2 linked regions of the Drosophila melanogaster genome follow. The protein of the gene in region 1 interacts with the protein of each later gene in a pairwise test. Each region holds a gene or a part of one and is shown on either strand. Other genes may lie near its edges. The genes, in order: CG5687 and CG15818.

Region 1 (12,290 bases):
GATTTCTTTCGCGGTGGCGACAGAAGCCAGCGGCTTTAAATCAAATTGCACAATAAATAATCCCCGAATTCGAATCGAGGGTATTTAACAACCGATATGCGTTGGTCTTTTACGCTGTTTGCCTCGGTTTTATGGTCCTTGTAATCCTTGAATTTAGTTTAGTGGTTTATGATCAAAAGAATTAGATGAGATTTGAGATAAAAAGTTGAACAAACTTTAATTTGATTAGCATTGGAAAAAATAATAGCATATCCATTTTTGCTGCTTCGACTTTTCGAATTAAAGAACACTTAAGCGCTCATAACTCGCATTTCATTTCAATTCGCCAATTTGCAACCCTCGTCGAACATTAAAAACCATCATTCGCAGCTTTGGTTACAAAATAAATTGTTGACAAATTGCTAAATAAACGGTCGTGGTCCACAGGCCAAAGTATTTGGCAAGCACTTGGCCAGCTCCTCCTGAAACAATAACCACAAAAAGGGGAGGAAATGGGCAATGGAAATGGACCGTGGTCAGTAACCCAAAACGCACTGCCAACTGCCGCCGGAATGACTTTCGCAAATAGTAGCAGACTATTTAATACGCTATTACGCAGCATATCGAATGACATCCTCGGTGGCCAAATGGGTTGACAGCCTGCTCCTGGCTGGAATATATATTCTATATATATATATATGTATATGGACCATCCCCGTCATCCAGCCTCATTAGTTAACATATGTTGCCGAAGTCAGGATTCGGGATTCGGGATACGGGACTCGAGACTCCCCCACAAAAACAACAGCTTGTGCTCATTGCCCAAAGTCAATTTTCGGCACAAAAAAAAAAAAAGAAGTGTAGCGAGGGGAGGTAGGAAAGTTCGGCGGAAGGGAGCAATTTGTAGCCCTCTTACCGCCCGACTCCTTTGGGTGGTTTATAAAAACTTCAAACGAATTCCATGCGCGTTATGCTGGCAGCGTGTCAGAAAAATATGTTACTTATCGTTTTGGCTTACTGTCAATGGAATGGGCCCAACTTCCTTGGGGAGAGAATTGTATTGAGAGGTCGGGTCTTAACAAAGTGGCAAAACGTTTAGCAGGACTTCGAAATGAGATGGGTGCTTAAGAACTTTATTTGGGATGAAGTCCAGAAGTTACTCCAGGGAGTATGAATCCGGAGTCTCCAGGATTTTGAGAACACAAATAATACAACATATATAATTTTAACTGCATTCTAATTTGCAACATTCCATTCAACTTCTGATTCACAAAATTGTTTTAAATTTATACTGCTAACACGCTAAATCAACCAGCTATTAAAATGATGACATGACAATAATATCCTATCTTATTCCAAAACAATTTAATACAATATACTACATACAACAAACCAGCGAATCTATGCGAATCCGCTAATTGCTATTCACAACAATTGAATTTTAGTATTTGTCGCCTGGCACAGATATTTGCATAAATTTAATTATTATATGAGCGGCGAAAAATGAAGCGAATATTTTTGTGTTAGACAGTAATTGCGGGCTTAAAGTTAGTGGATGTGGTAAGGGGGGGGGGAGGGGAACTCGTTACATGGCCAATATTTGTTAACAAGCCGGACTAACATCGCAAAACTAAACGCGGCTCATTTGGGGGTCTATCGAGTGCAGTTGATAATTCTATAATATCCGAAACGGATTCTTTATCAGGGATTTTCTGCAATGCAAACCTGGAGCGCTACCAGCTCATCGAGGAACAACAACTGAACAAGGAGCGGAAATGTCCAGACGCCTCTCCTTGGCACACTAAACTGCACGCTTTATAATTAATTTCCATCAGAAACAGACGATGACAAGATGATGACGGTGGTCCAGGGTGGTCCCAAAGTTCTATTCCTCCCTCATTAAACTACTGACTTTCGGCCGGAGCCATAATCATTAATCTTATCGCCGCCTGAGCTTATTATTTCAATTGCTGCCGGGGTGGTGGAAAATGGGAAAATCTGGCTTTCCACCGCACAGACGTTGAAAAACTCGATGACCGGAAGTAAGCGAAACAGCAAACCGAGAAGCCAACAGAGCGCCCAAAATCAGGCACGTGCCACTGGGAGTTGGGTGTTTCCAAGGAATCTCTGCGGTTAATCGGTTGTTCAACATGTCAGCGGCTTTTCATGGCCGTTGTTTACTTATTTATTTATAAATGCCAGAGCTTTAGTCTAATTGAGGGGGCTCCCACCCATTTTACGCATCAATTTGCTTTAAAATTCACATCAAGTCACAATCTAATTACCGCCGTGGAGTGGGTCTCCCATAAATTGTTGCAAATTGTTGTGCCTGGCTACAAAGTGCGAATGTCCTGCTGTGTCGCAGACTCACAAGGAGGCGGGTGACGGAGTGGGGGGGGGGGGGGCCGGACTGCACAATAACTCAAATACAGCTCATGGAGGAGCGGTGGGCCAAGGACTCTGCCCGGCGAGTCCTGCAATCTGCTTCAAGTGTCCCAGCTAGCCTGTCAAATGCAGGAAGCTAAGCCCTCCACCGAAGGATAGCAGGAAGTGAGTTACCAGGACTTACAGCATTTTTGCTGGACCAACTTTGCAGCCTGCACTGTGGATGGAGTATACATAAATAAATAAATATCAAATGTAGATTATGTTAGGGCACTTCAAGTATTGGGATTTCAAAAGGGTGATGTATATGATGTGATATAAAAGTATGCATAAAATTATTTATTTCTCATCAAGATAGTTTAAATATATTTAAGAGAAGAACGGATTGTTGACTGAAACCAACTGATTTTGCACCACTGTGCGGCCTCTAATCAATTTGTAGCCGCTTTGGGTAAATGTCTCTTATTTGCATTTATTATGGATATGCCCGTCGTCTGGCGATGGCAGTGCAGTTCAAACTTCTGGCCGGTCCATGGCCACGCCCCCACACACGACCCGCCCCAATGGGGTGGTGACGGACAGATATCTATGGGTTCTCTGCGAGATTCAATTTGCCACAGAAAAGTTTTCGTCGGATAGCCGACAGAAGTTTGTTTTCCCAAAAGCGGAATTCGATACCCACACCACTCATACGACTCGACGGCCATGAAAAGTTCCAGATCTATAGTCATCCCAGCTCTGCTGCTCCAGACAGCTTTCCATCCACCGGACAGTCGCAATTTACCCATTTCAATGCAACTCCAGCGTGTTTTTCTCAAACCCATTTATGCCCTTCATTTGCAGGTGAAAATTTGGTTTCAAAACCGGCGCATGAAGTGGCGGAACTCCAAGGAGCGGGAGCTCCTCGCCAGCGGCGGTTCCCGCGACCAAACGCTGCCCAACAAGAATAACCCAAATCCTGATTTGAGCGATGCCAAATGCGATCGTCCGCTGACGCCACTCTCGCCATCCCTGCTCTCGCCCAATGGGAGTGCCACGCCCCCACCGCCGGGAGCGGTGGCCAAGGATGAACCGCCAACGGCAGCTGTCACGCCCAAGTCACCGCAATCCGTCAGCAGCCGGAGCTCCCCCTCCGTGGGCTATGGCCTCCAGATTAGCTCGCCGCCTCCGCTCCTCACTAGCCTCAAAATGGGCGATCAATCGGCGTCGGCCACGCCCACTCCGCTGCCGGGCACAACGGTGTCATCCGCCGCCGCCTCGCCGCCCGGTGTAACTGCCTCCGAGTTTCAGGCCAAGATCAATGCCGAGATGCAGAAGCAGCTGGTGGCCGCCGATCTGAAATTCAAGCTGGAGAACAGTATCCAAGAGGCCAAGCAGCGCCGGTTCGAGCAACTGCAGCAGCAGCTGCATCACTCCCCACACTTCAGTGCCATGCGGGAGGTAGAGCTGGCCGCCGCAGCCGCGGCTGCGCAACTGCATCATCATCACCAGCAGCAGCAGCAACAGCAACAGCAGCAGCACGCACAGCAGCAGCATGCGCAGCAGCAGCACCAAGGTGGCTCCGAGTTCATGAAACTCTACTACGATGACTACGACGACTCCAACTCGGACAGTGACGAGGAGATCAGCGTGACGTGATTTGCGACTGGAGGCGAAGATGGAGCTGCAACGGTCCGTGTACATATATGTTTTAATTGTAAATTTATTGATGCATTCAACTTATTGTATTTAATATGTGTATGATATTTTTTCGAATTTAAATTCCAAAACGAAATAAACTCCTTTGAAAATCATAATGCCAATACTAATGCAAAGATCACTTGACATTTCAGCAATCAACGCTGATTAGGAATATATATGTATATATAGGTTTTATTAGGTGTCTTAAAACGAACTAAACATAAAATCATTTCGTAGTAACATTAGTAAGTGTGTGTACAGAATACTGAGCCAACAACCTCGGCTGGGACTTAAGAACTAGAAATCACTCTTTCGACTAAACTAGGACAGTTAACAGATTGCGACTGGTCTTTGTACATGGAGGTTACATGGAGGTTACACAAGGAATTGGCCGGTGGGGAGCGTCGATCCCCGCCAGAGTTCGAGTTTTGGCTTCGAGTTCTATTCGTCGTCAATGCGAATGGCATGGTTCACATGGCCCTCGTCACTTGTGAGCTCTCGCGGATCGCCAATCACCGTCGTGGTGGTGTACTGCACCTGGGAGTCGCTCTTGAAGATCTCCTCCGACACGGCGGGATTGTCGATGTCCTTGCCGGTGATCTTCAGCACATTGCGTCGCTGGATAAAGTCAATGATCAGCGAAATGAACCAGCCCAGGAAAACGGTGAGTAGGCAGCCGATCATGCTGTACCACATGTAGCTCAGCCGGAAAATGGGCCAAGATCTGTAATTTCTGGGTTAAGTAAAATATATATATCTAGTACCTAAGATGTTATCTTACGTGAATCCCCCCTCCTCAATGACTTCCAAAGGTTCTGTTAGCAAGCTGCCAATGATGTTCGTCATGTTCACATGGCAGTCGCATTTGTCGATGGATGTGGGCAATGCGGGCTGCTCCACGCTCACAATTTGGGCAACCACGCCCACAAATATGACCAGGGCCAGGGACAAGAGTCCTCCGTAGAAGGCGCCCTTGGTATTGGCCTGTTTGCAGGCGATTCCCAGCACGAAGAGACCGAGGGTGACACCACCAATCAGTCCATTGAGGGTAAGCGTGGCCTGCAGAACTCCTCCCAGGTGCTCCACGATGAAGACCAAGCCGAAGGAGGCAATGCCAAAGCCCAGGGACATCCACTTGGCATAGGTGGCTCCCTTCTCCGGAGAGATTTTGATGTTCATGCCATTGACCAGCAGATCTTCGCAGGTCACAGCGGACAGGGAGTTCAAGGCAGAGGCCACGGTGCTGTTTTTGAGAAGGAAAAACTTTGAATAAGACTTCCATAAGCTGTTCTGGAGTTTAAGAGCTCACCCCAAACTGGCAGCAAAGATGCCAGCCACAAAGATTCCCGCCACGGAGCTAATATGCTCGTAGGTATTAATCACGTAGTAGGGCAACAACTGATCCGTGGCTGAAATGCGTCCAGCAGTCAAGGGATCGCAGTCCGCATAGTGGGTGAAGACCATCAGACCCGTGTAGAAGTTCAGCAGGAAGACCACAATTAAGCCGATAATGGCAAAGCCCAGAGCAATCTTGGCTAGCCTCAAGGACTTCAAGGACATGCATTTCTGAACGGACGCCTGGTTGGTGCAGAACAGCGAGGTCCAGTAGAAAAAGCCACCAATGACCACCGACCAGACGGTGTGACGTGTTGTGGGATCGGGATCCATGCTGCAGAATTAACCAGAATTGTTAAGGTCCTTGGATTCATTTGGCTTAACTCACTTGAAGAACTCCAAGCGATTGTGATCGGAAGCAGTCTGAAAGACCTGGATGGGATTGCCACTGTAGAAGCAGCCCAAGCCCACGATCAGTACCAAGGATACAGCCAGGACAGCAGCCTAAAAGGATTTAGATATATCTTCTCGTATTGATGAGTTCCACCATCTCGTTACTCACCTGGAAGGAGTCGGCAATGACTACAGCCTTCATGCCTCCCTGTGAGGAGTAGAAAACGCAGACCACATAGATCAGGACCACGGCGATTTTGGTGTCCAGTCCCGTGGCCTTAGACAGAGCAATTGCCGGTGCCAGGACTGCCACAGCCGTGTAGAAGCACATCTGAAGGAGAAGGAGTCTATATATAAATCTCATTCATTTTCGAGTTAAATCCCAGAACCCACCTGAATGACATAGAGCACTGCACCCAGAATCCTGATCTCCTTGCCAAACCGAATGCCCAGATACTCATAGCAGCTGGTGAGCTCCATTTTAAAGTAAATGGGATAGAAGATCTTCACAGCAACCGGAATGACAATCACCATGGGTATTACGATGAGCACAAACTGGGTGCCCTGGAAGTACATCTCGGATGGATTTCCCAGCAGTTCGATGGCCGTGATGAAGCTGGTCGTGAGACTGAGTGTCACCGGGAAGATGCTCATCTCGGAGCCCAGCAGGAACTCGTTGGACGAGCTGCCGCCCTTCTGGAAGAAGCCATAGAAGATGCCGATGCCCAGCGAGATGACCAGCATGCCCAGCAGAATCACGTAGTCGTAGCCCGAGAAGGTGGCCTTGTGACTGGGCGCACTGCATTCCTCCAGCTCCGCGGATGCGGGAATCTGTTGATTCTTGAAGGCTCTCAGGAGCAGGGTGGCGGCATTATCGAACTCCACATGCTCCTGGGATTCACTGGGCGACTCACCGCGCACTATCAAGTACTTGTGGCTGGAATCCAAGGGAGCAGATCCTCCTGGAGTCGGAGACCGTTCCTGCAGGGCCAATGCGGTTATAGAATGTGCCAGGGCGCACAGGGTCAGCAACTTCAGAATGGTGTCCTGGGTGGCGAACATCCTGGATCACGAGCAAGGACTAAGGATGGGGATCGAAGGATGGCGATTTCCGGGAGATCACTTTCTCCAGCCGACTTTCCACCCGGCGACGTGTGCGCAAACTGAAACGAGATCGGATCGGAAGCGATTTAGACTTGGATCACTGGCAAGATCAAGGTTCGCAAAGAGGAATTGCAACGAGGCGGCATTACAAAGCACCATCGCACCGTGGGTGTCACACTTGGTGTCATCTTGGGGCCCATTAATTAATTAACCAAACGATCTGGATCTGCGGCTCTGGATCCGGAGGAGGGGAGGCCATCGACCATTGGCCAGCGTCTCATGTTCAAGTACAAATACATTATTTCCTTATACAAACAATTCCATTTGAGCGTAATTGCTTTATGATTAATATGTTTTCTTCATGGGGCGGCAGTCAAGGCAACGCTCTTCTTTTTTTTTTTTTTTGGGTGATATTTCTTTTTCGGATTGTGGATTTCGGATTCCCAGATCCAGAGTTATGGCTCTTTTGGGGTTACAAGTGGACGGGCGATGAGCAAGAAGGCCCAGCAGAAAGCTGCCTCAAACTGGTCGTTGATTTATTCAAACTGGTTATTTCTGGCCAAAAGAAATCGCACGGCTTGCAAGTGGTAAGGAATTTGTTAAGATATTTGATTTTATTTCACGCCAATTCTAGGATGTATTTCATTGCATAATGCTACTCGATGTGTAACAAACTTTTTTAATATATTTCAATTTCCTTGCTGATTTATGCAATTACTTGTCGTTTTAATTGTCAAGTATTTGAATTCATTACACAAGCCTTATCTTTTGAGTAACTTAAATTTATTACACATGCCTCCTCCGTCTCCTCTTAATTGTTAAATCATAAAACACACATTCTGCAACTGATCAACGATGGCAATCACTTCCCCCATTCAATTGATCCCCAACACTCGACAATTATTCTTGATGAGACCAGAAGCCATGGCGCCTCCTCACTCCTCCTGGCGCCTCTACTGCCCCCGCCCACTTTTCCGGCCAATCAAACCATTTGAGAAAAGCTGCTCCTGTGCGACATGGACATGTATGCACCATATGGCCTGAATGGCGAATAGATTGGGCTACAATGTTTGAGCGAAAATGGGGAGTGCGAGCGCGCCAATCGAGATTTAAGCGAATTCAACTGGTTTAGATCGGTGGCCATTGGACTGAGCCGGATTGCGCCGGTTTGGGCCAGAAATTCGCCATCGCTCGGCGAATCTTCGAAGAGCAGCTTCCAAGTCTCCGAAGGCAAGGCCGGAAACTAAGAGCAAAAGGCCCGACCACAAGAGAGATGTCCAGATGCACAGAGAGAAAATACCAGTAAGGAATGGTCTAGGCTCCTTCTAGTTTCTAGCTCATCGTAGAATATTTTATTCAAGTTTACAAACTTCTGATTTGAGTAATCTAAACTACGAAATCATATTTATTGCTCATTTGTTTGTTGGCTATTTGTGTTTGGGGTGAAACCCGTTTTCCTTGGTGGAGGAACACACGGGTCAAATGAATTGTGGGCTCTGGTTGAGGACAGGCGTCTGGCTTAATTGGTGGACTTTCGCCCAGCCCATTCCAAAGGCCCTTCGCTTCCATTAAATGGCATCATCATCGTCTTCGAGCCCAATTAATATGCGTGTTTTGTTTTGCTTTCCTCGGCTTTTTTTTTATCTCGTCTGGGCGAACTCGCTTCTATTCTATTATAATTAATTTAAACAAAATAGTCCGCTTGACAAGTTGGCAGAAGATACCAATCGCAAGCAAGGAGATTTTCCACGGCCACGACAGCTGCAAACATTACCTAGTTCAAAACTGGCGAGATTAGCCAGCTAAAAAACAGAGTGAAGTAACACAAGCGACAAAATATTAAAATGCCTTCGGAATGGGTATAAATACTTTCAGCTTTATTAGCTTGTTCGACAAATGCATTTTACAAATTGTTTTTGCCCTCGCAACTTTTTACTCTAGTTTTAGTTAGTCATGAGTAATTGGAATAAATTTCCTTTGGGCTAATGCTTTTTACTATTCTGATGTTCTGAGATATTTTGCAACTACCAATTATCAGTGACAATCGGTATGATAAATTTCGAAATAACTCACTGGCATGCATTGCCGCTTTCACTGAAAAACTGAACAACTTCTCACCTTGGTTAGTAATTTTTCAATTCGTCAAATTCGATATCCTTCGGTTGTCGTCTTCGTTTAGCTCTCAAATGGAATTAGGTTTGCTGCACTGTATCTTAGAAATGTTCTGAACTGGATTTGCAATATTGTGCCACGATTGTTTCTGTATTTCATTAACGTGTTTTCTTAGTTAGTCACAAAATGAAACTGATCACTGTTTGGATTTGGTTCCTCGAGCCGAGTCCTTGCCGTAGTTTTTTTTTCACTTCGAGCACTAGTTGTTTCCCTTTTTTCCCAGCTCGTCGTCGATCGCTGTTCGAACGTATTGACAATTTTTAAATGAATGAGTTTTGCAAGCGGCCGTTACGCTATTTTATACAACACCCAAGGCGGCGCAGGCAAATCACAGATCTCGGATCTCAGGCCTCGGATCTCAGATCTCGGGCTCCCAGCTTCAGCTTCGGGAACCCCACCACATCGAGATCTCTTTGGGGTCTGAAAAGCGAAGAAGAGAGAAAATCGATCTAAGAGCAGGCGAAGCGTCGCCGGATATGATATCGCCGATCTCCACGGAGAGGGAAACTCGATCGCCAGCCAATGGTCGTGTGGAGTGCTAAGATATAGGCAACTTATTTTCAACAGACTCTGGGCACTAAGCCTATTTTAAAAAATAAAACCAAAGACATTATGGTTCATACTATAAATGAAACAGATATTAAATATTAAATGTTTATTAATGTAATATTATATAACTTTAAATTAAAAGGTTAGTAGATTGAGAAAATGATAGGAAACTTATAATCAGGTAGGTATGTAGGTATTAAGTAAATGTATATAAAAATATGATGGGTATAAGTAAAATAAGCTTGAGGAAACGTTTAATTGAAAATCGTGTATAAATGTTTGCCAAACCGTTTCCTAAATTGCTATCAATTAATTTCAGGGAATTGAAACGCTCTGATTCATATGCGAAGATTCATTTTCAATTCTGCAGAAGACGCTCCACGAATGGCCGGAAAATATCCGGTATTTTCCAACTCCTTTGCATATCCCTCGATGGCGATTGTTAATTGTGGCAAGTTGAGCCAAGTGAAATGCGCTGTAAACAAACATAAAAGTTTAATTGCTGGTTCTTGGCCAGTTTGGGATTGCGTGATGTGTAAATATTTCCATTTGTCTCACCCTTTATTACTTTTTAAGTAACTCGAGTCACAAAGGCAAAAAGTGCGCCAATTAATAATGGAAACGATTATATCTTTCGTTTTTTGTACACTTGTCGCCTCGCCTCAATTGCTGGCTATGTGGTGTTTTACTTGGATAACGATAACGAGTTCGATCTGGTACGATTTTGATCAGGAATGACACTCTTTCTCCCGCTAATAGAAAATTATTTGTTTACAATTCCTGTGCGCCAGTGTGGGTGTTTAATTCTAATTGAAATGTATTCCCAGTTTGAATTTAAATTTGAACTGAAACGGCGCCGGTCAGTTCAAAAAGAGTTCAAATCGCAATAAATTGATAAATGTAAAATGTATGTACATATCTAGTATGTAGTGGCAAAAAGAAAGGGGGTCTCCAAATATTCAGCAGGTACTTCCCCCCAAGCGGAAAGTCACCAAATCGACGCCCATTTTTCTAAAGGTCAGTGAGTTAGCTAGGCAGATATGCACTTAAGCATGAAGCGTGTTGCATTAATTAAATATGCCCGCCATGTCGTTAACTAACAGTCTCATGTAAATCTTGGCCATTCAACTACCTCAGCCGACGAAAAGCAGTTAAAAGCAGTTCGGCAAATGCGTCTCGGTGTTTAGGCCCGAAACGATCCCATCCCATGCCATTCCAATTCCATTCCATTCCAAATCCCCATCCCCATCCATATCCAAAGCAAATCCAGCTAACTCTGTTCCTCGGATGCAAGTGGCCGAAGACGTCACAAAACTGGTCGAGCCCCTCGTCCGCCAAGTGGTTCTTTCGGACTTTGGTCCGGTTGGGTGGGTATCAAATCACATCACATCAGATCCGAACGGTTTTTCAAACATTACAAGACAATCTTCACACGTGCTGGCTGCGTGCTGTCGAAACTGAAAATACGCAATACCAATAAAAAGAATTTTGGATTCGATTCCGGCATTACACAAGATCAAGCACCCCTCCTCCGTCCTCCCTCTATCCATCGTATGGGAATTGGAGAAAGCGTAGTAGTCAATTAATTTACTAATGAGAGTGGGCGTTGACATTGCTAAAACACTTGTTTATAAAAACAGCACAGAAAAGAACATTTTCCTTTTCACCAAGGAACCCAATATATATGTTTAAATTTTTTGCAATCCAAAAAAGCTTAAATGAAAATGAATTTCTTACTTTCAATAGTTTTTTCCAATATATAGTTGTCTAACAATAAATTGCTCCATTTCTTTCTGTGTATTAATATTTTCAATTATCGAATGTCTCAATTAGTTGCTGGCCTTAATTCTGGCTTTGCGAAGTCATCGCACTTCCGTCATTGCAATTCAATATTCACCATATATATGTAGTAAAACTTTCTTAATATTTCAAATTGCGGGCCTTGTTCGATAGCGTTGCCACTCTGGTTTTGCTGAGCTGCATAGGCATCGATAATATTTGTAAGCAAAGTATCGATTATTTTCAGATACTTTTGTCCATCTCTAATTTACCATACTTTTATTTAGGAAATATTTACAAGGAATAAATACAAAGATTTGCTTATTACCCGTGGATTATAAGTTAAAACCACGATGAGTGCAGCCACCGCCGCCGCCGCCGCTTCTGGGATCCAGAGCACAGCGGGCGCCATTCCCATGCGCAATGAGAAAGGTAAACAGCGAAGCTCGATCCTCACCAGAAATTGTTTATAAGCTGCATATCTCTTCAATAGGTGAATTGTCCATGCAAAAGGTGAAGGTGCAGCGATACATATCCGGTAAGCGACCCGACTACGCCCGTGCGGACTCCAGTTCGGAGGAGAGCGACGACGATGACTTCATTGACACCAGGAAGCGCCTTGAGCGCCACAAGGCGGAACGGCATAAGCTGGAGCTCTCCCGTCAAGGCGGCAGCGCGGAGGGCGAAGAGCGGGCGGCGGGTGAGGGCCAGGAGGAGGACGATGCCGAGGTGGACGATCCACGCCTCCGAAGATTGCGGCAGCGACCCGTAGACATGGAGGACATGGAACGTGAGCGGAGGGAACGCCACCGACACATCCACGAACCGGAAATCATGGAGAGTGACAGCGAAGACGAGGAGGAAGACGAGGGAGCACAGGGAGCGATTCAGCGGGGCACCAATAAGATCACACT
Region 2 (12,290 bases), on another chromosome or scaffold:
CAAGTTAACTTGCTGGACAATTGCTCTCGAAACCTTTTTTGTGTCTTTGATTTTGCCAAATAAAATATAAATACAATCTTTTTTAAACTTACGATTTGGGTGCTTTTCTTTAAGTTTCTTTTCTATCTGCATCTTAAAAGCTTTACTACATTTAGGCTAGATTAACTTTAAATTTCGTTTTTAGTAATCTGATTTCCTTATTTTGAAAAATAGTACTATATTCAATATCTTTTTTAATGCTTAAATAGTTCGACGAAAACATGCTCACTTTTTGCTTTTAAAAGATGCAATTAAGTTTTAAAATACATATATAATTGAATGGTTAACTGATACTCATAAATGCAGACCTATTACGTAAATTTTAAAGCCCAAATAGTCTAGATAACATACCAAATCCAGGTCCGATCATTTGGGATGTGTAAACATGTCTTATTAAGCTATGCATTACTGTAGAGGTTTAATTCTTGATCGCTAAGTGCTATCCCGCGTCTGTAGACCATTTAACGCCGTTCCCCCTTAAGGCCACCTCGTCCTCCACCTCCACGGCCGCCACGGGTGCCAGGTTTCGTTGTCGTTTGGGGTGCGATTGCTGGCGCCGCAGCAGGAGCTGTGGTCACGGCGCTCTGGGTGGCGGGAGCACCTGGTGCAGCAGCCACCGCGGGCTGTGGAATGCCCGTGGCACCACCCTTAGCGGGCAAGCCAGGAGCACCACCACCGGCCGGAAGTCCCGCCGGAGTAGCAGCAGGATTTGCCACCGCCTGCTGCTCCGCCCGTTTCGGTTCACTCATATTGACGCTCTCGTTGAAGACCATGCAGTACTCGCCGATCTTGAACACCTCGCCGTTCTTTCCGGAATAAAGGGTCAGACAATGCCTCCAGATGGAGGCGTAGCCCTTTGTCAGTCTGACAATATCACCGGGTGCTATCAGTTTGCCCGGCTCGTCCCAAATCGAAACATTGATGCAGGCCGTAGGATCGCCCACCTTATAAACATTGTTTTCACTATATTATTTGTTTTTATGTGAATAATGCAACGATGGACCCACCTTGAAGTTCCTCACTTCGCGGTTTTCTTTTGTAACGGTGGCCACGCCCACTTCCAGGACAATAAAGATAACATTGATGTTCTTCAGACCCGGCTTTATGTCCTTAATAGGAATGCATTCCACGTTATACATTGCAGAATGAGCAAGAGTTTTTAAAAAGTACAAAAATGATTTGTTTTGTTTTGGCGTAGTGCAGCGTTGCCAGACGTTGAAACGGCTTTAGTGTGACCTCACCTAAGACAACCAAAAATACTTTAGTTTGCTTTGGAACTGATTATTCCAGTTGTTTCATCCAATTTTTTTTTAAATTTTATTTCTTACCATCTAATTTGAATTGTTATATATACATTTATTTTATTTATCGTTTAGTAAATTAAAAATATTAATTTTTTTTCTTGATCAATCATCTCATAATAAGTACAGCGAATGTTGAATAGATTCTATTTCAACGGAAGGATAACTTTATATTTACAAGCAAACATTACTTTATCAATTTTGTTAGTTCGTGATTAGAAACCCTATAAGTAATTCAAAAACTAACACACAAGCAACAAATTTAATTGTGGTCACTAAATTAGGGAACCACCCTAGATAAAAAAGCTTTATCATTTCCGGCAGATGTGAATCATTTTAAATTTCTACATATATCATTCTTCTGACTGTGCTAGCTTTCGATTATTTCAACATAGGGGCGTAGATAAAATCTACAATTAACCAGATAATTTAATTGGAAACCTCCAGAGCAGTTAAGTTCAATAAACCGGTGAAAGTGGGCACAAAAAAGAAATTCCTGGAAGAGCAAACAAGTTGACATTAATTAATCAAGTGATGATTATCTAACATTACAGCCGTTACTCGTAGAGAAAAAAAGTATACCTCATTCGTTGATGAATATGCAACAGGTAAATGGAATTCTCATTTCGGATCATTAGTTGATCTGGCCATTTCCGTTTGTGATTTTGGTTACCATAAAAGCTATAAAGATAAGATCGAGCGTGCAGATCCTATAAACGCAACGCAAGTTTGTTTCAGAAGATGGACACGCCCAATATATTTTGATTTTATTATTTAATTTGTTAAATTCTTTATATATACGCACTCCCGCTAGCTGAGTGATCTAATAGTGGAGGATATCGACTTTAGCGCTGATTTCAGAAATGAAGTATGTCATTAAGTTGAAGTACATATCTACTTTACTACCATACCATATTGACAACGCTTTACAAATAATGATAACTTATGATACCACATCAAATTTCTTGTGACAATTTTAATAAGAAGATCAAATATGCTTATCAACCATATTGCCGGGCCTTTAAAAAGAGAGCCAATTACTTCAGTATCAGTTCTTTATCAAGCTTCAACCTCAGTGGTTGTCCAAAATGTTTAGCTCTACGAGAATTATTTTGTGCGCATTTCTATTGCTGTATCCTTACGGATCCCTGATAGAAGCCCAGGAGGGCAGGCGCTATGTGTGTCTATTATCAGATCCTCCCAATCAGTGCAGTGAATATTGCGTATCCGCACTGCAGCCGGTCATCGATCACCTTTCGAAGGAGCAACAGGACTGGGGAGCCTGCGAGGTGAAACTTAATGGAAGCGTCGCGAAACTGGATAAGATCGAAGACCAGTTGACGGCGACACAAATCCAAATAGAAGCCCAGCAAGCATTCCTTGTGAACAACATTTCGAAGGCAATCAAAACCGAGGACCTTGAGCAAAAACTAAAGGATATCGAAGGCAATCAGACAGCGCTGAGTAATCAGTTGAAAGATGGACAGAAGAGGACGGAAAACCAGTTGACAGCCATCCAGAAGACTCTATCCGATATCGAAAGGAAACTCGTGCTGCAGAGATATCAACAGATAGGATCGAGATATTTCTACATCGAACACAACTTACAGGTGAACTGGAGGACCGCCGAGCAGAGGTGCATTGAAATGGGCGGCCACCTCGCAGCATTCCAAAATGCCGAGGAATACAACGCCATAGTGGGCCAATTGAACAAGGCGAACTACTGGCTGGGTGTCAACGATCTGGCCAAGCAGGGCGAGTTTATATCCTTGGCCTCCGGCAAACGAGCTACCTACTTCAAGTGGCGCAAAAATGAACCCAAATACAATAATCCTACCCAGCACTGCGCCTACGTTTTTGGGCACGAAAACATTATGATCGTTCTGTCCTGTACCACTGACGTTATGCATTTCATTTGCCAATCAGACAGTGATGTTTAGTTTTAAAGTATCAACACATGTATGAATGAATATTACAACAAAACCACAAATACTATAATTCACTTTACTGCATTTGATGCAAAAATTGATGGGAACATTTAATAACGCTTTTAGCAATAATTTTTCTTTGTGAGAGGGTTTAAGGGCAATTTTTTTTGACAACAAGTGATTGCCACAGATAGGAAATTATTTCGTTTCAAATTGTCAAAAAAGTCGACATGGCGCCGTAAATAAATTGGCTGAAATGAGTAATAGGCTTAAGAGATTGCTGTTATCGAATTTATTTTATTTGTTTTTCTGGTTTTGGTTCCCCGCACGTCGTAAATTAAGATTGATTCCTCGTTAAGATTATTAAATTTATCGTACTCGACAAGCACTCTTTATAAGCAACAAATGAATAAAGAAATTTTCGACTTTAATCACAAAAACTGGCTTATATCAATTTTAAAAACTCCTATTAAACAAGGCAATAAACTGTGTAGGTTCGTATTTCAATTAATATTTGCTAACTAAAATATTTTTGGAATACGATATTTTTGTGCCCTAGTTGCACATCTCTAGCATATTATAAGCCGATAGCTCCGGCCGATTCCCATGGCGTTCCGCTTGGCATCCACCTCTGGCCACTCTAATCAAAACAATACAGGAAAACAGGCATTTTTGTGTACAAATATTAAAAAAAACATTCTGCGCTACAAAAATGGCCTTGGAGTCCGGCAGCAGCAGCTCGGAGTCGGGCAGCTCATCCACAAGCGGATCCACCAGTTCGGAAACGGGCAGCAGCTCGGACACGGATTCCAGCAGTGCGACGCCGGAGGAGAAGCCATCCACGAATTCCTCCGCCAAATCCCAGACGCAAACACAACAACAAACTAATTCCGGAAATGCACAGAGAAGAAAGCCTGTTCCTGCGGCGTCGGAGGATAAACCCAAGCCGAGCGTAGCGCCATCTAGCAAAAAAGTAAACAATCCTCCCAAAAGTAAACTCTCCAGCGATGACGACGAATATGAGGACTCGGCGCCGCCGGCCAAAAAGAACTCACGTGCAATGGGCAGTTCCACTGTAACAGCGGCAGCTGCCGCCTCAGCAGCCAGGAGAAAACCACCCGCGTCCGTCAACAAGCCAAGCAATCCCGCTAACAAACCGAGCAATCCTACCCAGCGATCGGCCAACAACAACACAAATCGATCACTGGAGAACGGCGAGGGCAAGCGACCCTCGCTCTCCTCCTCGTCCAATAGCACAGATGACTCTATGAAGATCGTTAAAAACGGGCGGAAGGTTCCCCTCAAAATGGCCAGCACGGTGAGGCCCAAACAAATCCGAGGAAAATTGCCGCCGGCAAAGAAAAACGGCGGGGGACCGGTGATCAGCAGTGACGGAAGTTCGGGCTCCGAGAGTGGCTCCAACTCGGGCGACGAATCAAGTTCAGGAAGCGAGTCTGAGGGAAGTGATTCCAGCAACTCCTACAGCTCGCAGCCAGTAAAAGGAGGAGCTAAAGGTAGGCAGGGTATAAAGTATAGAATTTATGTAAGGATTTTAATAATATTTAAATTTAACTCTTATTATTATAGGTAAGAGAAGCGGACCAACAAAAATCCAAAACTCCGACAGCGAAGAAGAGCGAAAAGACAAGGCCAATCCCATGAGGAAACTGACGCGATCACTCAGCATGCGAAGGACAAAACAGCAACCCAAACAGGAAACCGATTCTGAATCCGATGGAGACCTAGAAGATGACAAAATTATGATCTCCAAAAGTCCCGCCAAAAAGCCAGCGCCCTCGAATTTGAACGCCAGCAAAAGCAAAGTGAAAAGGGAACCAATCGGAATCAGCAGTGGCGTGCTGAGCTCCATTAAATCCCGACCCGTGTCACCGATTACCCAGACTGAGAAGAAGTGTCCCATCGAGGGCTGCGATTCATCCGGACATCTGAGTGGCAATTTGGATAAGCACTTTTTGCCGGAGGCCTGTCCTATCTATCACAACATGTCCGCCTCGGAGTGCAAAGAGCGTGCCAATGAGAGAAAACTGAGGAATGAACAGCGACTAAAGATGCCGGTTAACATTGTGACGGCGCCGGGTAACCAAAACACCAATCTCAAGACGCTCTCGCCTGAGCAGCGCGAGTTTCTGGCCAAGATTCGCGAGTCAAGGGCTAACTTTAAGCCGGCGAATAACAATTTTTTAGACTCGAAGGTGAGGATAGTGGGTTAGCTTGAAAGTCCATATGAGACTATTGCTAACTATTTGATTACGCTTCAGGTAAAGCTGGAAAAAGACGTAACGGACGAGGACCGGGAACCAAATCTGGCAGGCCTGGTGCCTGACTATGATTTGCAATTGTTCCGGGAAGCGCAAGCTCAAGCATCCGAAAGGATCGAAGACGAACTCAAGGACCTGCCCGTGGGAAAGGGAATAAAGTAAGTAGTAGTAATATAACAAACTTATGGAGATCAATTTACAACCCTTACGTCTGACAGATATATCAGCATGGGCAAGTACAAGATGAAGGTCTGGTATCAATCCCCTTATCCGGACGATGCTGCCCGCCTGCCCAAAATGTATATCTGCGAATTCTGCCTGCGCTACCAAAAATCAGAGACGGGCATCAAGCGGCATGCCGAGAAATGCGTCTGGCGGCATCCGCCGGGCGATGAGATATACCGCAAGGGCAAACTACAGGTGTGGCAGGTGGACGGGAAACGTTATAAGCAATACTGTCAGCATCTGTGCCTGCTAGCAAAATTCTTTCTGGATCACAAAACCCTCTACTACGATGTGGAGCCCTTCCTTTTCTACATTATGACGCTGGCCGATGTGGATGGATGTCATATTGTTGGTTATTTTAGCAAGGTAAGTAAAGTATTTATTCGTAATGTATATTTTCTTTGGTAATTGTTAAAAACTGAATATGCTAATATGCTAATCAAACATCAAGCAGTTGAAATAACAAATCCACTTTGATTTTCCAGCTCATTGAATTATAAATTTTAAGTTAAATATAATTTTAAGTTGAGTTACATATTGAAGCAGTTAAAGTATCAAAATGAATATTTAATAAGGAGCTTAATAGAGGGCTTAACTACAAAAATTAATGCTTCCCTTTATTCCTAAGCAATTGGAAACCAAAGCGGAAAATCTGATCCTGCTCTAATGATTTCGATTCCTAATTGCTTATTATTTGAATAGTCGCGCTGCAATTGTGCGCCAGAATTTTCCAGAACCTTTATGGTTATTCCCCAGCATAAAATTGAATAATAACATTTTACAGTTTTATGATTCCTTTATGTCTGGAGACGGAATAGAGATGCGAGGAATGTAGAAGCCGGTATCCCAGACTCCCAGAATGGCAGCCACAGCCCATGTACGGTGCATACATATGTACCGTCAAGCAGACTATATGGTTGTATCCAGATGCAGACAGTGAGCTCTGCCTTGACCATGCCCACCAAAAACAGCAGATGATTTTTCCATTTAATTTTTTTGTCAACGTTTTCGGGTAAATAAGCAACAGACAGAGAGAAACAAGCGGCGCGAACGAGAGAGTCATTTCCCCTGGCTTTAAAAAGCAGCCACGGTTTCTTGACCTCCCACCAGAATGTACGGAAAATACGGGTCCGGCGATACATTCACGGGCTTTGGCGGGATCCCACCTTCGGTTTGCAGTTTTACTGCAGAATGCAGAAAGTTTTTGGGCGCTGGCAGAGACTGGGTTTGTGTTACAAATTGCGCATGTCGTTGGCTGATGCTGCAGCTGCTCCTCTTGCTCTCCTCCCGATTCACTGCCCCTGCTCCCGATGATGCCCCTCTTTGCAGCTCCTTTTGTGAACCCTCGCTGTGCTGGCGCAGCATCCCGAGGCAGTCAGAATTTGGCAGTTTCTACACATACTACAAGTTTACATATATTTACTACGCTCGTGCTAGGACATTCATAATTTCTTTACTACCAGGACACGAAATGTACGCCCATGAAAATGTTTAAAGAATGTATTTCAACGGAGATATTGAAACATTTTTAAGCATATCTAAGGAAGTTAAGAATTATATCGCTTGAATCATTTAAAATGTATTATTTTATATTTCGAAATCGCTTCCAAGAGTAACTTAGTATAACTATGGTAGTAAATTAGGATCAAAGCTATATTCCTATATCATGACATTGCATCTGCAAACTAGGCTGCGTATAAACTTGAGTGAAAACCCAACCCCCTTTTCGTTTGGCAGTGATAATTTTCGGCAATCCTTTGTCCCGCAGTTAACCTCCAACTCTCTGACTCCAAAACGGGGTCCAGACAGCAGCCAGACACCGAGGATTGGAGTAGGGAGACGGATTGGCAGGCTGGGCACGCTGCTCCGATGCTCGGATGCTGGGGACACGATTGAGGTCGTGCACCTCTGGGCCGGGTCCGGGAATTTCTGATTCTGATACTGCGTCTGCGCCTGCTCCACAAAACTGCGATTGCCCGGGCTGGGCCAGGAAAATCCGGGGTGAAGGATCTCGGGGTGTTGGCGGGGCGGGGGATCAGATTGGGAAACAGGGACTCCTCTGCTATGTGGTTGCGTTCCCAGACATCGGGGCAGACAAAGGAAAAACGAGCAAAAAAAAAAAAAGCAGACCTCAGAAAACAAAAAGCAGGCGTACTACAAAGGAAAAATCAAAATGAAAAACCCGCAGTGTACATAAATGAATTTCCGAATTGTTGCCATATTCCAGATTCAGCACACAGGACTTAAAATGTGGCCACTTAATGGAGTTTTAGCTGCTCTAATGATATTCTTTAATTTAAGAAAGTCTTGGATAATTTACCCGTATATCATTTATTATTTGAAAACTATTTTTCTAATGAGGACTAAACTTTCTATTAAAATTATTGTTACATGTGGTATTATCTCAATGATTTTCCACTGTGTTGGGATTGTTTTTTTGGCAATGACCGTGAGACAAGGGGGCTGGGCATGGCTATATCCATGTACGAGTCATTCTGTCTTGCGTATATATATCCCGATCCCCAGACTCGTGGTCCTTGTGCTCCTGCGGCAGCTATATATGTATGTATGTGCGTATGTTTATGTATTTACGCACAGTTCTCTCGCCAATTTGGCCATCTCTTTCACGCCGCTGCAGCCATCTCTGTCTGACTGTCTCTGGTGCTGGCTGTCTATCGATTCATTTAATTTTGCTGGTCATTGAACTGCCGAAAAAAGCCAAAAGCGACAGATAAATGTTGCCATCATCTCTGCCACTTGCAAGGGACCACCCCCCACCCCATTTCCCCTCATCTTTTGTCTGGAAAATGTCTGTCTGATCCCCCAACTCTGAAGTTTTTCGCCATACCTCTCTTCGTGGATTTTTCCCAACTCCAAGCTTCAGTTTCCCCACTCCTTTCACGTCTGCCATTGTTCTTGAACCTTTGTAATTGATTTAATTTTAATAATATGTTCGCTAACCTTTGCTTACTTTTAAGTGGATTAGTGAAAACCTTAAATTACCGCCTGCTCATGCCTGATTCGTTTTTATTTCTTATTTTCTAATCATTTCACACACTTTTCTATATTTGCAGCATATTCCTTTCCTGCAGGAGAAGAACTCGTTTTACAATGTTTCCTGTATTTTAACATTGCCGCCATATCAGCGAAAGGGTTACGGAAGATTACTCATCGATTTCAGTAAGTTAACACTTGAGATTCTACACAAAACTTAAGAATTGTTAATAAATGGGGATTTTCTTCCTCAGTTTACAACCATTCTGCAATCAAATGCATCGAACTCGTCTTACTATGATTCCAACGACCTTTATCTTGCTATATTGAATAATTCATATTTGATTTAATATGAAACCAATTAACAAAGTATAAGTTTCTCCCATGAATGCTCAAAATGCAATACTTTTTATCTGAAATATTTAATATTGTTCAGGGTGCTAGTTATAGTAATATGAAAGAACAAGGAACGAATATAATTGTTTCTTTCTTGTCAGCCGATTAAATGTATAATTGACCTCAAACTGCGAATTCTTCTGTGGTCTCTTCTGCGCAATTCTTTAACTGGAAGAACACAGTGACCCTGAAAATCATATGATATCAATTACGTTGGATTGAGTGGTTGGGATTCCACTGAAATTGGGCTTAAATGAGGCTTGTTAGTGAAAAAGTATATTGGCCACTAAAATTTGCTGTCCAAATTGAATCTTTCTTTGTTCCCCTTCTCCGACCTCTTTCGCTGAGTCATAAGTGTGTGTGTGTGGTGTGCAGGTGTGTGTGAAATATAATCATCATTGCATGAGAAAAGCCAAACATGAAGGAGACTATGGCTCAGCTTTCCAATTGCAGTTTTCCCCCACCATTGCATCCACTTCTTCTTCTTCTCCAGGTGCAGAACATGCAATTTCTGCATCAATTAAACGTAGACACACACAGGTGCACTGCATATCGCATAAGTAATTTTAGCGGCTGCAACGAAAATTGTTTAAAATTAATCCAAGCCCACAGACTAGACAATAAAAACACACACAACCCAAAAAAAGGTAGCTAAGTAAAAAATTATGAAAAAAGAATTACCCAGCTATAAAAGAGCGGAAGGTGGGGGGAAAAGACAAAGAGAGTCTTGAGTCATACATTTACATTCACAATCGACGTCGACAGCGACGGCGGCAGAGGCGGCGGCATTTGTGCCTATGTAAAGTCAATACATGCAATGCCAGGGGCGTGGAAGCTTGGTGTATTGGCCAGGGGGATTGGGCGGTAATGAACGAACGAAAGAGCGAGCGAAACGACATTGACCTTACACAGACACACGCGAAGGCCCACAGACACAAAGCCAAGTGCCGGCCGGCAAAAAGAGTAATGGTCAACCAGAGAGAGAGAGGGATCGTGAGAGGGAGAGGGAGAGGGAGAGGAAGTTTTGCGAAGAGAGCGAGTGAGGTGCACGGAAAATAATTGATTGATCTAATCTATCCCAGGAAAATCTGGTATAATTCTACTTTTTAATAAGAGCTTTGTTTTAGAGTTCGAATCGATTGTTTTATTGCTTAGGTCTTTGGTAAGAATATGATATTTCATGAGGTTATGTGGTAATCTCGGCTTATTATCAAGTGGTGAAGGTTTCACATTAAAATCTCTATTGATCCGTTAACTATCTTAAATTACTATCTTAATATTTTTTACTTTCATAATTAAATATATTTTTTATAAATTACCGTTTCCCAATTGAAAATTATTTTGTTGTATGTAGGAGCCGCGCGGGGCGGCGTGCAAATCATTTTCGTCATCATTAACTGGAATTGGTTATTTTGCACATGGCAGGTGGAAGGAATACTTGCAGACAGACAGGGGTTAACTTAACCCACCGGTCCCCCGAAAATCGAACAGATCTAGACATATGTGTTAGAGCGGTACGGCCATACACCATTTATGTATGTCCAGGTGTACAAAATGCACCACGCAAAATGCAAATGAGGGGGCCAAGTTTACAGGTTCCGAACAAGGGTTGCCACCTACTGCATTAATTAACGAAACTTTCTAAAAACCCACAAACAAAATTTACCCAAGTTGCCAAAAATATACGAAACGTGCCGCTTAAAGTTTGCTTTTATCTTTTGCAAGTCCCGCACAAGCAACATACCCACAAAAAGCACTTACAGTGCGAATTCTATAAAGTAAACTTCGACAATAAAATTTTATAAAGGTAATGAAAAATATCGTTCTTGAAGAATTAATCTTAAATATTTATCGGTGGCAGCTTAAAACAGTGCTTAGATCTAAAAAAAAAACCTTATAGCGTATAAGTATAAAAATAACATATTTGGATATGAATATGTTCTAGAAATAATTCAATCCTGATAGATATTGCTTGTCTGTTTATAGAAGCTTGACTGTGGATAAAATTTAGCAGACACAACAACACCAGAAGAGCAACAAAAACAACAACTGTTGGCGGCAGACAACAAAGGTCAGGACAGGTCACAATGAAAGGGCGTCGTCCTCTTTGCGAGCACAAAGAGCGAGTAACGGTTACTCTCTCTTTGTTTCATTCTCTCGCTGCTTATTACTCACTGCTTTTCAAACTCTGGTAGCTGCATAAAAAACAAGAAAAACGCATAGAAATAATAATAATTAGAGCCTTGCTAATTTGAGTTAAAGTTGAAGTCGCCGTCCCCTATTGCACATTTGCGTAAATTTTCATTCTTTAACTCATTACTGTTCGTTCGCAGCGCCTGTGGCTATGCAACAACAATGTTGCTGCGTCAGCGGCGAGTGTGCAAGTGCGAGCAAGAGCGAGAGCTCGACTCTGCGAATCAGAATGGATCGATAAAGTCGTCTCGACGTACTCACCCATACTCCCCCTTTCGCTCGCACCAACACCGCTTCCCCGTCTCGCTGCGCCAGGATTTATAACGCTGCGGTGTATTGGGAAGGGGCAAGAAGCGAGACGAAGTGCGGCACAAAGAAATCAAAGTGCCACCCGAAAACGCCCTCTTCTGGCCAAAAGTCGCATCAGAAGCTGGCCGAGGGGGCTTCCTCTCGAACTGCATAAAATACTGCGCACAGTGGGCCGAGATCAAAAGATTACTTACTAAACGATCATGTAATACTTATCCAATCTTTTTTGCGCTATACTAAGTAGTATATTAAAATTACATGCATTGCGGGTCTTTAAACAGGCCCTTCCGTTTAAAAATTGTAGTTATAAATTGAGTTTAAACTGGTTTTGATACCTAGGTTCCAATGTTCTTGGTCATGCAAAAAGCGAAGCGCTGCGTTTATTTTTGCCTGTGTGTGTTCAACCCTGCGCTAGTCCAGTCAGTCAGCAGGATTCTTCCTCCTGCCCCATGCTTTTTCCATCCTTCCCGTCTGCCTTCTCAGCTGTGTCTGCCATTGAGTGAGTCCTGCTCTCCCATTTTTCTCTCCCGTTGCTTCACAGCTGGCGCCATGGGTGCAGCAAGGGGAATACTTCCAAAAATATTAAGCTCTAGGAAATAAAAATCGCATTCACTGCATTAAGCATA

What was found.
Region 2: the proteins of CG5687 (region 1) and CG15818 interact in a two-hybrid assay, tested with the Drosophila melanogaster proteins (one large-scale study listed by BioGRID).

Annotation. Positions count from the first base shown.
Region 1 is NT_037436.4:1,929,447-1,941,736, forward strand, and holds CG5687 (uncharacterized protein), read right to left. Parts: upstream 9,658-12,290; 5' UTR 9,148-9,657; coding exon of another isoform or gene 9,052-9,147; 5' UTR 8,995-9,051; intron 6,936-8,994; 5' UTR 6,835-6,935; coding exon 6,166-6,834; intron 6,104-6,165; coding exon 5,942-6,103; intron 5,884-5,941; coding exon 5,768-5,883; intron 5,714-5,767; coding exon 5,354-5,713; intron 5,288-5,353; coding exon 4,826-5,287; intron 4,769-4,825; coding exon 4,486-4,768; 3' UTR 4,187-4,485; downstream 1-4,186. Other genes in the region: Dbx, read left to right, coding at 3,208-4,002; CG46523 (uncharacterized protein), read right to left, coding at 9,052-9,147; Mfap1 (Microfibril-associated protein 1), read left to right, coding at 11,730-11,808, 11,870-12,290.
Region 2 is NT_033779.5:7,408,527-7,420,816, forward strand, and holds CG15818 (uncharacterized protein), read left to right. Parts: upstream 1-2,382; 5' UTR 2,383-2,428; coding exon 2,429-3,280; 3' UTR 3,281-3,703; downstream 3,704-12,290. Other genes in the region: CG5181 (uncharacterized protein), read right to left, coding at 501-983, 1,047-1,178; chm (chameau), read left to right, coding at 3,981-4,782, 4,856-5,481, 5,548-5,705, 5,766-6,138, 8,847-8,952.